Sus scrofa: one gene and its partner. The protein of the gene in region 2 interacts with the protein of the main gene of each other region in a pairwise test. Links are inferred from orthologs where the notes say so. Each region holds a gene or a part of one and is shown on either strand. Other genes may lie near its edges.

Region 1 (6,443 bases), on a different chromosome or scaffold from region 2:
TTTTTTTTTTTAAGCAAAGTAAATGTTGGAGTTCCCACTGTGGCACAGTGGAACCAAATCTTACTGGGAACCATGAGGTTGCAGGTTCGATCCCTGGCCTCACTCAGTGGATTAAGGATCTGGCATTGCCATGAGCTGTGGTAGAGGTTGCAGACGTGGCTCGGATCTGGCATGGCTGTGGCATAGGCCAGCAGCTGTAGCTCCTATTGGACCCTTAGCCTGGGAACCTCCATATGCTGCCAGTGCAGCCCTAAAAAGCCAAAAAAAATTTTAAAAATAGAAAAGTAAATGTTGGCAAGGGGTGGAGAAATTGGAACTCTCATACATTGCTGGTGAGACTGTGAAGTAGTATAACCACTGTGAAAAACAGTTTGGTGGTTCCTCAAAATGTTAAATATAGTAGAGTTAATGACCCATCAGTTCTCTTCCTGAATATATCTCCAAAAGAATTGAAAAGAGGAACTCACACAGATGTATGTGAATATACATAGAAACACTCTTCACAGAAGCTGGAAAGTAGACACAGCCTAAATGTCCACCAGTAGATGGATTTAAGCAGTGGTATATCGATACAGTAGAATGTTATTCAGCCATAAAATAGGCAGTTGTAACACCTGCTGAAATCTTGATGGACCTTAAAAACATTATGCAAAGTGAAATAGGCCAGACAGACACAAAAGACAAATATCATATGATTTCATTTTTATGAAGTATTTAGAAAAGGCAAATTCATATCAGACACAACTTAGATTTACAAGGAGATCCTGCTGAGTAGCATTGAGAACTTTGTCTAGATACTCATGTTGCAGCAGAACAAAGGGTGGGGGAAAAAAATGTAATTGTAATGTATACATGTAAGGATAACTTGATCCCCTTGCTGTACAGTGTGAAAAAAAAAAAAGGCAAATTCAGAGACAAAGTAGATTAGAGGTTACAGAGATGACGAATGAATTTCTGTTCAGAGTGATAAAAAGTGTTTGTCTTTTTTTAACTATAATTTAAAAAAAAAACAGGGAAGGAGGTGGGGGCATGGAATGAGTCCTCAAAACTAAAATTATCGATAATTGCTACCAGTTATTTTGTATTTACTTTAGGCCAGGGATCTTACTTTATGCTGAGAGCTTTCTGTACATCCTCCCAGTCATTTTGGAAGGTAGGTTAATAACTCAGTCACAGCCACAGAGCTGATAAGCGGTAAATTGCAGATACTAATCCCAAAGTCCTATGCTTTACTATGCTTACTACCTCACAGACAACCGGGGCTTAAAGAATTCTCTGTATTTGATTTTTGCAGGATAGGGCTAATCTTGTGCAAATTTCTTTTAACTTCAGGAGAGAAGGCTCATACGACCGATACCTGCGAATGGATGACTATTGCAGGAGGAAGGATGACTCTTACTTTGACCGTTACAGAGATAGCTTTGATGGACGAGGCCCTCCAGGCCCAGAAAATCAGTCTCGTGCAAAAGGTAAAGTAGCAGAAACAGTTTATTCTTATTACTAATAGAACACTTGACAAAAGAAAGAAACTGATAACCGACTGGAAGGAGGCTAATGACTTGGCTAAGCAATTTACAAAAAAAGAAATACAAAGGGCCTATTCATATATAGAGAGTACTCATCTTAAAAAATATTTGTAAGGAGTTCCCATTGCGGCTTAGTGGTAAAGAACCTGACTAGTATCCATGAGGACACAGGTTCAATCCCTGGCCTGGTTCATTGGGTTAAGGATCCAGCGTTGCAGTGAGCTGTGGTGTAGGTCACAGACACGGCTCTGATCCCGCATTGCTATGGCTGTGGCGTAGGCTGGTGGCTGCAGCTCCATTTCAACTCCTAGCCTGAGAACTTCCATACTCCATGGTTGCAGCCCTAAAAAGGCAAATTAGTACCATCATCTAGCTTAGTCATCTAACAAGAAGAAATAAATATGAAATTCCAGCATAAGAAAAGAAATAAAAACAGAAGATTGGAGCTGAAGAGGTTAGGTGCATGCTTTTTCCCCATTGATCAAATAACTACAACTATCTGCATTATGTATGTAGCATGTAGGATTTTTTGTTTTAGTTACAATTTTTACCCAACAGCATCTACTTTTTGAGTAAAGACAAACATTTTTTTAAGAGCTTTGTTTTTCTCAATACATCTTTAAAGATTTTTAAGTTGTTTCATACTTGGTCAAGAACTTCTTTTGTTTTTTTTCTCTTTTCTGGGCCACACCCATGGTACATGGAGGTTCCCAGGCTAGGGGTCTAATCGGAGCTGTACAGCACAGCTCTGTACAGCACAGCTCACAGCAACACGGGATCCTTAACCCACTGAGCGAGGCCAGGGATAGAACCTGCAACCTCATGGTTGCTGGTCGGATTCATTAACCACTGAGCCACAACGGGAACTCCAAGAACTTCATTTTTAATTTGTTATAAAACTTATACTTTACTGCCTCATTTTTAAAAAACAATTACAAGTACCTGTCTTAAATAGTTATCCCAAAAATGAAAATTAGAATAATAATGAAATACCATCTTTTACCTATCAAGTTGGCAGGAGTGGCTTTTTTTTTTTTTTTTTTTTTTTTTTTAATGACAGTACTCAGGGTTGACTAAGATGTGGAGGAACAGCACTAGGTGATCCACCCCTGTGAAGGAATAAATTAGTTACAGCCTTTCTGGAGGGCATTTTGATAGCATGTTTCAGATTAAAATAGTACCTTCAATCCAGATTAAACCATACCTTTTAGTCCAGTCATTCCATTTCAGTGAATTTGTAGTAAAATAATAATGGTTAATTTTAGGAAATAGTCTAGAGTATTAATTCAGAGAGAGAAAGTGTATGTGCTCAGACCTTCGCCTACAAGTAGTTCGGGATTCAAAATGAGGCTTGTGACTTACTTTCATAGAAAGGTACAGTCCATGTTTCAGTTTTCCTTGGTATTATCTTGCAGAGCGTTTGAAACGTGAGGAACGGCGAAGAGAAGAGCTTTATCGTCAATATTTTGAGGAAATCCAGAGACGATTTGATGCTGAGAGGCCTGTTGATTGTTCTGTGATTGTGGTCAACAAGCAGACTAAGTAAGAACCCTTTGGATGTTTCTCCTCTGTAAGAAGGGTCAAAAGAGAAATTCAGGCTCCTTCTTGGCAGCCATACACCGGACTTGGACTGTGTATTCTGGCATTGCTGCACTGTGTTAGTCAGAGTTCTGTCAGTTTAGGTGACAGAAAAAGCAATGCAAACTGGCTTAGGTCCCAAAGGGAAATTTTTAGTTTGTTTGACTGGGAAGTTCATCCAGGGTCAAACTGTCATAAAGACTTGGTATCTGTATTGCCTTCATTCTCAGTCCTTTTTTTTTTTGGCTCTTTTTTAGGGCCACACCATCGACATATGGAGGTTCCCAGGCTAGGGGTCAAATCGGAGCTACAGCTGCCAGCCACAGCCACAGCCACAGCAACACACGGTCTGAGCCGCATCTCCAACCTACACCACAGTTCACAGCAATGCCAGATCCTTAACCCTCTTGAGGGAGGCCAGGGATCAGACCTGCAACCTCATAGTTCCTAGTCAGATTCGTTTCTGCTGCGCTACGACGGGAACTCTCTCACACAGGCTTTCTACTTGAAAAGGCAAAAAGACACTGGCGCTAGGCGTGTATCTTCTTAGCTTTGCAAACCCATGGAAAGAGAGCGGGTCTTTCCCATTGCTTCCACCTGAAGTCCTGGAATTGATTCTCATTGCATTGTCCTGTGACTTATTTCCTCATCCCTTAACTAGTCACTTTGGCCAGCAGTGCTGGGGTGCCTAATTGGCCAGGGCTAGGTCATGTTCCCACCCCCAGGGCTAAAGGTGGGATTAACCCTGTGGAACCATGTGGACTGAGTGCGAAAGAGGTGCCTTCCTAAAGGAGAATTGAAGAGGGAATATATGCTGATCAGGGAAACAGTAGACCTCCCCTTGATGGGACAATCCCACATCCCCAAGCCGTATATCTCTGCGTTGTCAGCCAAGAGCCAGGTCTTCTTTGTGAAGTGCCATGGCCTTGCAGAGCTGGTAGGTGACCATGGTAGTCAAGCCAGAGTTCACAGCACCGTTTTACTCCGTCTCCCTTTCGCATTCTTTCCTTGAAGAAGCAGCACGGAGGTGCAGAAGGGAGTATAGCAGCTTGTAAGCTTGGCAGTGGCTGTGTTCCCTTTCCCCAGGTGGTTAGTAAATAACTTCATGTGTTTTCTAGCACTTTGGGGTTAAAGAGCTGATTTCAAGGAAGAGATTAGGGAAATAGGTGTTGAGACACCAAGCAGCAGGCAGAGTTCACAGACTCTGGGCTGCCTTGTTTAGAAATAGATGCTGCTTTAACTTATAGATAGCTTTTGTTTTTTCTTTTTTCTTTTTTTTTTTTTTTGACATACAATAATAGCTATCATTTTCTGAGCACCTACTGTGTACTACCCCATGCTAGGCACTTTAAATTATTTTTTTGCTCTTCACAGTCATCATGTTTACCTGTGTATTCATTCAGCACATTTTTTCTATGTATGGCAGGTGCTAGGTCCTGGAGCTGTAATGCTAAGCAAACACACATGGGCCCTTCCTCTTGTGGAGCTTATACCCTAGCTGGACAGATGACAGAAATAAATGTATTGGTGATGAGTCCTAGAAGAAGAAATATATCAAGGATCTGATTTAGATTGGAGAGAAAGTCAAGGAAGTGACTTATGAGCTGAGCCATATTATTCCTGTCTTATTGGTAAAGAAACTGAGGTTTGTAAGAGGTAAAGGGACTTGCTTAAAGCTTCAACTTTGCAAGTAAATGTTAGTGCTAGGATCCAAACCTATCCTCCTAGCATTTAAAACCCATACTTTTCCCACAGTGTTGTACAGCTGCTGCAAAGACAGACATGTGCCACAGGTCAGTAGGATGGTGTTGAGGAACTGTCATTAGACTAGAGAAGAGAAGGACCTGGGTATTAAATACTGTAGCAATGACAACTTCATGTATGAATATTCTGGGCCAATATGAAGAGAAGGAATCGGTCTAGATCTTTGGAACCTGAAGAGAGCTCGAGGGAGCACGGGGAGGGCACACAGCTGACTGAGGTGCCTTAGTTTGCACGTTAGGAGTTGGTCAGGGAGTGCTCACTAAGATCCTCTTTGTTTCTCCAGAGATTATGCTGAATCTGTGGGGCGGAAGGTTCGAGACCTAGGCATGGTAGTGGACTTGATCTTCCTTAACACAGAGGTGTCACTGTCACAAGCCTTGGAGGATGTTAGCAGGGGAGGGTCTCCCTTTGCTATTGTTATCACCCAGCAACACCAGATTCACCGCTCCTGTACAGTCAACATCATGTTTGGAACCCCACAAGGTATGGAGGCCCAAGTGGGTCAGAATGCCAGAGGTGGTCACTAGTCCATTTTATGCCTTCCTCAGAAGCAGCAGGTTTTAAGTAAATGTATTTCAGCTTAAATACATTAAGTGGTAGGGCCCTTTTATAAGGGCACTGGCAGAGGCTAGTGTAGTCATTTATTCATCTGATATTCTTTCATTTGGTGTAGTTCTGGGCCTGCTGTATTTGACATTATATTTAGCCCTTAGGTATATACAGTGATGTGCTGGCAAACGTTTAACCACCAGTTCTGGGGTAGGGGACGGTGTGGTTTATAACATTTGCTGATTGCCATGGTGTAAATACTCCCACTGTGTTCTATTTCAAGCCACCAACATGAAGTCACTTCAGGGCGAGTTGGGAAGAGATGCACACAGTCTGCTCTCTCCAGTGAGAGCCAGCTCCAGCACGGCTCTGGCACGTACTATGCTGTGTGCTATACAGTCCTCGCTTTCACCAGACTTTCTAATGAGGGACAAAGAATACAGCAGGCAGTTAGGATACTCTTTGTAAGTGTGCTAGGGAGGTGGGCGGAGGGACTGTGAGAACAGGAAGGAGGCCTGGGGTAGGTTCTTTGAATTCCTTCCCTGAAGTAGCTTTTAGTCCTTCGCTCTCAGATTGGTGAGACTTAGCCAACTAATGCTCTGTTCACTGCTCTCCCAGCAGACTTTTCCCTTTTCCTACCGCCCTCAGGCCGTATTTGCCTGACCAGTTACACCCATATGGAACCATAGGGTGTAGAAGACTCTCCGGTGGGTCCTTTTTCTCTCTGAGGAACAGTCCTCAAGGTGTGTGAAGACATTTATATTAAGTGCGGAGAGTCTTCTCACCACGCTCTAGATCATGCTGCCCAGGGGTGAGGAGAAGAGGTTACTTAGGGTCGCAGTTTGATCTCAGTCTGTGACCTTTGAACTGATTGAATTCAGAAATAGCTCTGTCCTGAGGAGCGTAGTGGAGAGACTGACTTTACAGAAGGGCTTTTTGGACCCCTGCGGCCTGCCTCCTGTGGTTATTCTCCACATGGTCTTTTTGAATCTGAGAGACACTGTCAATGTTTCTTTGGTTTTTACT
Region 2 (6,443 bases):
ATCAGAAATCTGTTATTTTGGGGAGTTCCCTGGTGGTCTAGTGGTTAGGAGTCAGTGCTTTCACCAATGCGGCCCAGATTCAATCCCCGATCTGGGAATGAGATCCCACGTCAAGCCGCTGCACATAGTGACAAAGAAAGGAAGGAAGGAAGGAAGGGAGGAAGGAAGGAAGGAAAGAAGAAAGAAAGAAAGAAAGAAGGAAGGAAGGAAGGAAAGAAAGAAAGAAAGAGAAAGAAAGAAAGAAAGAACGAAGGAAGGAAGGAAGGAAAGAAAGAAAGGAAAGAAAGAGAAAGAAAGAAAGAAGGAAAGAAAGGAAGAAAGAAGGAAAGAAAGGAAGAAAAAAGGAAAGAAAGAAAGAAAGAAGAAAGAAAGGAAAGAAAGAAAGAAGAAAGAAGGAAAGAAAGAAGGAAAGAAAGAAGAAGGAAAGAAAAAAAGAAAAAAAGAAAGAAAGAAAGAAAGAAGGAAAGAAAAAAGAAAGAAAGAAGGAAAGAAAGAAGAAGGAAAGAAAAAAGCAAAGAAAAGAAGGAAAAAGAAACCTCTATTTTTAACAGTCTCTGGATCATTCTACTGTACCGCCAGACTAGATACTGCTAAAGTTCTTTTTAGTGCTAAGCAGACAAGAGTCCAGAACACAAATATACCTGCCACATCAGCCACTTAAAATCATTCCTATAATAATTTCAAAATTAAAAGAACACATGTCCTAAGTGCTTCAACCTTAGACCAAATGACAATTATTGGCAAAAGGTCAAATTACTAATAATTACCATAGCCTTCATCTACTGCCCCATAATTTCTGCTTTACCAAAACACAAAGACCATTCACAGATTACAAGTACTAATGCATCAGAGGCTGTTCGTGTTGATGATCTTACCCAGATCACAGGTCCATCTCCAGGTCTTGCCTGTTGTTTCCAGATAGGAATCTGAAAAATTCAACAAATTTCTTAAGCCACAACTTCAGTTAAACCACTAATAAATTCTTTAAAGCAATGCATACATGAAAAATAAAGTGTTTCTAATCAACCAACAATCAAGGTGAAAAAAATGAATTATAGGAAGAAATCCAAATCCTTCCAAGTGTCCTTAACAATGAAAGAGCAATAATTAATTATAAGATGTTCTCTAGAGAGTAGAAAGAGACCTGAACTAGGAATTGGAAGGCCTGGCAGGTTCAAGTCTTTCTTTCCCACTTAATTATTCACAGGACCTCCCCATGTCTCTACTTCCTCATCTATAAAATGCAGACATCTGTCTGAACCTTGTCTCTTTCACAGGGTTTCCACTGGGATCAAACAAGATGAGGCTTGCAAAAGAGCTTTACAATTATGAAAGGCTGACTTTTCTGAATACTTCCTATAAGTTTACTAGAGTTCCATTAAAACTCCAAAAACAAAGAAATCTTTTACATCAAACCTGAGAATGTGTGCTTCTAATCTAAGCAATTTAAGAAGCTCTAAGAGTTCCCTCTTGGCTCAGCAGGTTAAGGATCCAGCGTTGTCACTCCTGTGGCTCTGGTTACAGCCATGGCACGGGTTGGATTCTCAGCTTGGGGAACATCCACATGCCACGGGCACGGCCAAATAAATAAGTAAATAATAAAAAAAAAAAAAATAGGAGTTCCCATCGTGGCTTGGTGGTTAACAAATCCGACTAGGGACCATGGGGTTGCGGGTCTAGTCCCCGGCCTCGCTCAGTGGGTTGAGGATCTGGCGTTGCCATGGGCTGTGGTGTAGGTTGCAGACAAGGCTCGGATCTGGAGTTGCTGTGGCTCTGGCGGAGGCCGGCAGCTACGGCTCCAGTTGGACCCCTGACCTGGGAACCACGTGCTGCGGGTACGGCCTTAGAGGAGACGGGGGAACAAAAAAAAAAAAAATTTAAATAAATAAAATAAATAAAAAGCTCTAACTTAATATCCAAGGAGAGGGGACTTAATTTGCATAACCATACCATCACATATTTCCTTACCTACAAATAAGGGACTAAACTCTACTAACTCAACCACATTCTGGTAGGGAAAAAAAAAAAATCTCATTCAAAAACAAACTTTAAAATGTTGTTATATTTTGTAAAGCACATTTTAGGTCAGTGCTAAACTCATGCTCTATTTCGCTTCTGATTCCATCCTAAACTTGTCTTCTTCCTGCAATCACTCACCAACTTACCATCTTCCTCTCATTAGATATGAAGACAGCGTAACACTCTTCTAATGGATATTGGTCGTGGTTTTTGATGTATTCACAGAGCTTCCAAATATTTTCTTCACTGAAATAAAATAATTGCTTAAGCAATATAATGCAAGCAAGAACGCGCTGTTTTTCAAATTTGAACAAAAGACTGATGACGATATAAAAAAGTTGGAAGCAACCATAATCACCACTTCATCCAACAACTAACTGGCTGACAGAACTTCCTCTAAAACACCCCCAGCAAGCTGTTACCAAACTATACTGCTCGTGACCGACCCCATCTACAGACAGAGCTCAGGACCTCTGTCAGCAGTGCTACTGTACGGAGGCATTTTAACACCGCTCAAACACTACGTCAGCCTTCTATAATCTATAATCCAGGGCCCTGAGATGGAGCTGGAATTCCAACTCAGCCACATACAAAGTAGGAAGCTTCAGACATCCTGACCTCTCTGAAGGCCTGCTTTTCTCCTCTGTAAAATGGACACAACCATCATAACCACAGCATGTGATGAACACTCAATCTTAGTTAACACTGGTTTCCTGCTCCCCTTAGGAATGGGGCAGGATGTGTGTCTGGGGTAGGAGGTCTCCTTACTGAAAAACGACTGGGACAGTTGTCTTATGCCCAGGAATTCTTTGGAGGGAGCCCCTTGTGAGTGGTATTCCCTGGGCCCCCCTGGAATGGAGGGGGGTCCTGGCTTTTACAAAGCTGTTTTTCATACTGAACTGAAATCTGTATTCCTATACTCCTGCCCCAGATGAATCTCTCTTCTACATGAGATGCCTTTAGCTCTCTGAAGCAGTGGTCAGAACTGCCCAAGTAATGCAATGCCCAGGGCATCAAACCAAGCCACGCTGGAAGCCACAGTTCAGCCTTTGGGCTTCTGTCTTTTTCTAGTGAGCTACACAGCACCTCGGCTCAAAATGAGCTACACCAACATTTTGCTCACACAAGTGACTCACTGTGTCAAAATCCAATTTCCAGCCACCTACACCATGCCACCTGAAGATGAGGCAAGGCACAAACGGCACCAAGGACTATAGCCATGCTGTGGAAAGACACACTTTCAATTCAGTCTTGCCCTGTCTACCTGTCTCAATGATCTAAACAACTAAGCTTACTGAAGTGGAGAGTCTGCATTTTTCTCCGGTAATATTATTTTCCCCTGAAATATCTAAGAACCCTTAGAGAAAAAAATGGCAGAGGTAAAAACAGGAGATCGCTACTAATTCCATAGGATGTGTAGCACAGAGGAACAAAATTTTACTGTTTCAGTACCACACAACTTGTAGTAGCTAATTTTTTTTTTTTTTTTTTTTTTTTTTTTTTACTCTGGATGTTCTCAGACCAAGTTTTGAGACAACATCTGTCTGTCCAGCCTAATAATTTTGGAGAGCTGACCACAAACAAGAGCCTGTGATGTACACCACACACTGCTAAGTGCCTGGAGAATGTAACGAGCCAGCAAGAGGAGCCATACAGATCCATAAAAAAGTGAGCATCACAGAAGGCATGAAAGATGCATAGAGCAAGCACAGATGAGGCGTTCATTTTGAAGGATACAGGAAGATGGAGGAGGTGTAGGTCAGTGGATGCTCCTTGCTCCCCTCGCACATTCCAAGGGTGGGCACCGAGTTAATGCAAAAGGTTCGAAAATCCTCATGTACCACAAGCACTACTGGTAAGAAGCTGAATTACACATGTGACTTGGACATACTTCGCCTATTACTTTTCAAACACGCGTGAATGTTACGCAGAGAAAAAACAAATTTAAACGTAACAGTTACTGGGTTTCTCGTCCTTTTTTAATCAATTTTTTCAAGAGTACAGTTACTATCATGGAGAAGGATCTCGTAAAACTTGTGATGCTAATAAAAAAGAGAGCCTTATCCGTGGAAACACTGGCAGAGAAAAAGCCCTGGATTTGGTGTGACTCCTGAAACCCATTTAACTGTTTTTTCTTAAAAAAAAAGAGGGGATGATAATAGAAATGTTCCAGTTGATTACTTTGGCAGGAGAAACGCTGACAAAGCACCATTAGGGCCAGGATTCTGCAAGAATGGCTACCGGTGATGGGCTGAAGTCAGAGAGGACCTCAAGGGGAGGATCCAGGCGCACGCAAGTGCTCAACAAATATTTGAAAAATCCAACACCATTATAAAAGAATCACAAGTGCTCTGCAAACTACAGAGAGCCACACAAACACAGGCTATCACTGTTCTCATGAGGCTGGGTCTTAAAAGATAAGTAACAGCTGATGGAAGCTAACGGAAGTGGAAAGGAGGCATTTATTTCAAGCTAGGAGGACCCACAGGAGCCAGTGTAGAAAGGCATACCTACCCGATGTGTTCAGACAGGACAAAGCACCAGTTCTCCATCAGAAGTGATTCTGCCCCAGCCCCAGGGGACATTTGGCAGTGTCTGGGGACATTTCAGGTTGTCACAAACTGGGAGACGGTGGAATGGGCGGGCATTCAGTGTGCAGAGGCCAGGGATGCTGCTACACAACCTACCATACACAGGACAGGCCCCCAGAGAATTGCCACCTCAAAATGCCAACAGAGGCAAAGCTGAAAAACCCTCGGGTAGGGCAGGAAAGGCAAGTTCACAAAGAGACCGAAGGAACAGGTGGTGACTAGATCTTTAGAGGGCTTACTAGGCTCAGAAAGCAGACTTTATTGTCAAAGGCTGCATTCTTGAAATATGATCCACAGACCAGCCTCAGACTCATCCAGGTTGCTGTTCACACACCCAGCAGCTCTGTGGTGGGGCCTGGAGATCTGCATAGTTTACAAGCTCCCAGGTGATTCTCCAACACGTTCAAATTTAGAAGGGATGTGAGCAACGTGAAGCCAGCTGAAGTTAAAGACCTTAAGGACAGGGGAGAGCTGGGCAGAGAGGCCTGTCAGGAAGGGCAGCTGGAAGAGGCCCCGAGGGCCAGGTAAGGAGGGTCTGGCCCTCGGCTGAAGGAATTAGAGGAGACGATCTACTGAAGTGAAGTTCATCTCCCACCATCCTTCCCCCAAGCCTCTCCATTCCAACTGTGCCGGCCTCCCTGCCGTTTCTAGGATACACTTCCTTCTGAGAGCCTCTGCACCCGAAGTGGCCTCCTGCCAATATCCACAAAGCTCCTGCCCTCTTTTTCTTCAGATCTCTGTTCAAAGATCACTTTATCCACAATGTCTTCTTTAAATCTCCTAATAACACAATGAGTCATTACCCCTTAACTTGTTCTAGCTTTCTCCTACCACTTAAACCCAAACATGGTTAAAAGGGGTTTTGCCTGTTTTCCCCCAATCGAAATTTGAGAACTATGCAATCTTATGAGGGACATCCAATTTCTTGGGGTAGAACATGATGGGAGATAGTATGAAAAAAAAAAAAGGGTGGGTGTGTGTGTGTGTGTGTGTGTGTGTGTGAATGCCTCACTATGCTGTACAGCAGAAATTAAAAACACTATAAAACAAATGCACTCAAAAAAAACCAGAAAGAAAGAAATCAAGAAATCAAGAACTCTTACAGGGGGGAGTTCCCGTCATGGCTCAGTAGAAACATATCTGACTAGCATCCCTGGCTTCACTCAGTGGGTTACGGATCCGGCGTTGCCGTGAGCTGTGTTGTAGGTTGCAGACACGGCTTGGATCCTGTGTCTGTGGTGTAGGCCAGCAGCTACTGCTCCAATTCGACCCCTAGCCTGGAACCTCCACATGCCGCCGGTACAACCTTAAAAAAAAAAAAAAAAAAAACCTCTTACCAGGGAATATGTCTATTTTGTTCACTGCTATCTCCCTCATGCATAAAATTGTGCATCTCACACTCCAAGGGCCTAATAAACATTTACTGAATTGACAAAACAATGAGGGGATGTTAGGGACAAGAACAGAACCCAGGTGAGAGGCAGGGCAGAAACAAAGCACGGACTCCAGACTCTGGCATTACTGAGGTTCCAGTTTCAGCACCACCCTTGCAGATGTGTGATCCTGGGCAAACAACAGGTCTCTCTGCCCAGTTTTTTCATTGGTAAAATGAGGGAAATGATAATAATAAAACTACCTCCCAAAGACGGATGGAAGTACTAGGCCTGACACACTGTCAGAGCTGAACGAATGTCAAGCTCTTCCCAGCATTACTTTGGTGACTAGCTGAGGAGAGAAAGGCAGCTTTAGAGGGCCCTAAGGTTTCTTGTGCAGGGAATGGAAATTGGGGTTAGAAGTCATTAATCAAGTAAGGGAAAGGGAATGAAAAGAATC

Evidence for each region. The genes of interacting proteins can lie anywhere in the genome.
Region 1: the proteins of WDYHV1 (region 2) and NCOA5 interact in a two-hybrid assay, tested with the Homo sapiens proteins (3 studies listed by BioGRID and IntAct). The two-hybrid records come from large-scale screens. The link is inferred for Sus scrofa from reciprocal best matches to the Homo sapiens genes NTAQ1 and NCOA5.

Annotation. Positions count from the first base shown.
Region 1 is NC_010459.5:48,234,484-48,240,926, reverse strand, and holds part of NCOA5 (nuclear receptor coactivator 5), read left to right. Parts: intron 1-1,332; coding exon 1,333-1,469; intron 1,470-2,888; exon of another isoform or gene 2,889-2,941; coding exon 2,942-3,068; intron 3,069-5,151; coding exon 5,152-5,351; intron 5,352-6,443. UniProt on the Homo sapiens protein: Nuclear receptor coregulator that can have both coactivator and corepressor functions.
Region 2 is NC_010446.5:15,990,942-15,997,384, forward strand, and holds part of WDYHV1 (protein N-terminal glutamine amidohydrolase), read right to left. Parts: intron 2,266-6,443; coding exon 2,166-2,265; intron 927-2,165; coding exon 876-926; intron 1-875. UniProt on the Homo sapiens protein: Mediates the side-chain deamidation of N-terminal glutamine residues to glutamate, an important step in N-end rule pathway of protein degradation.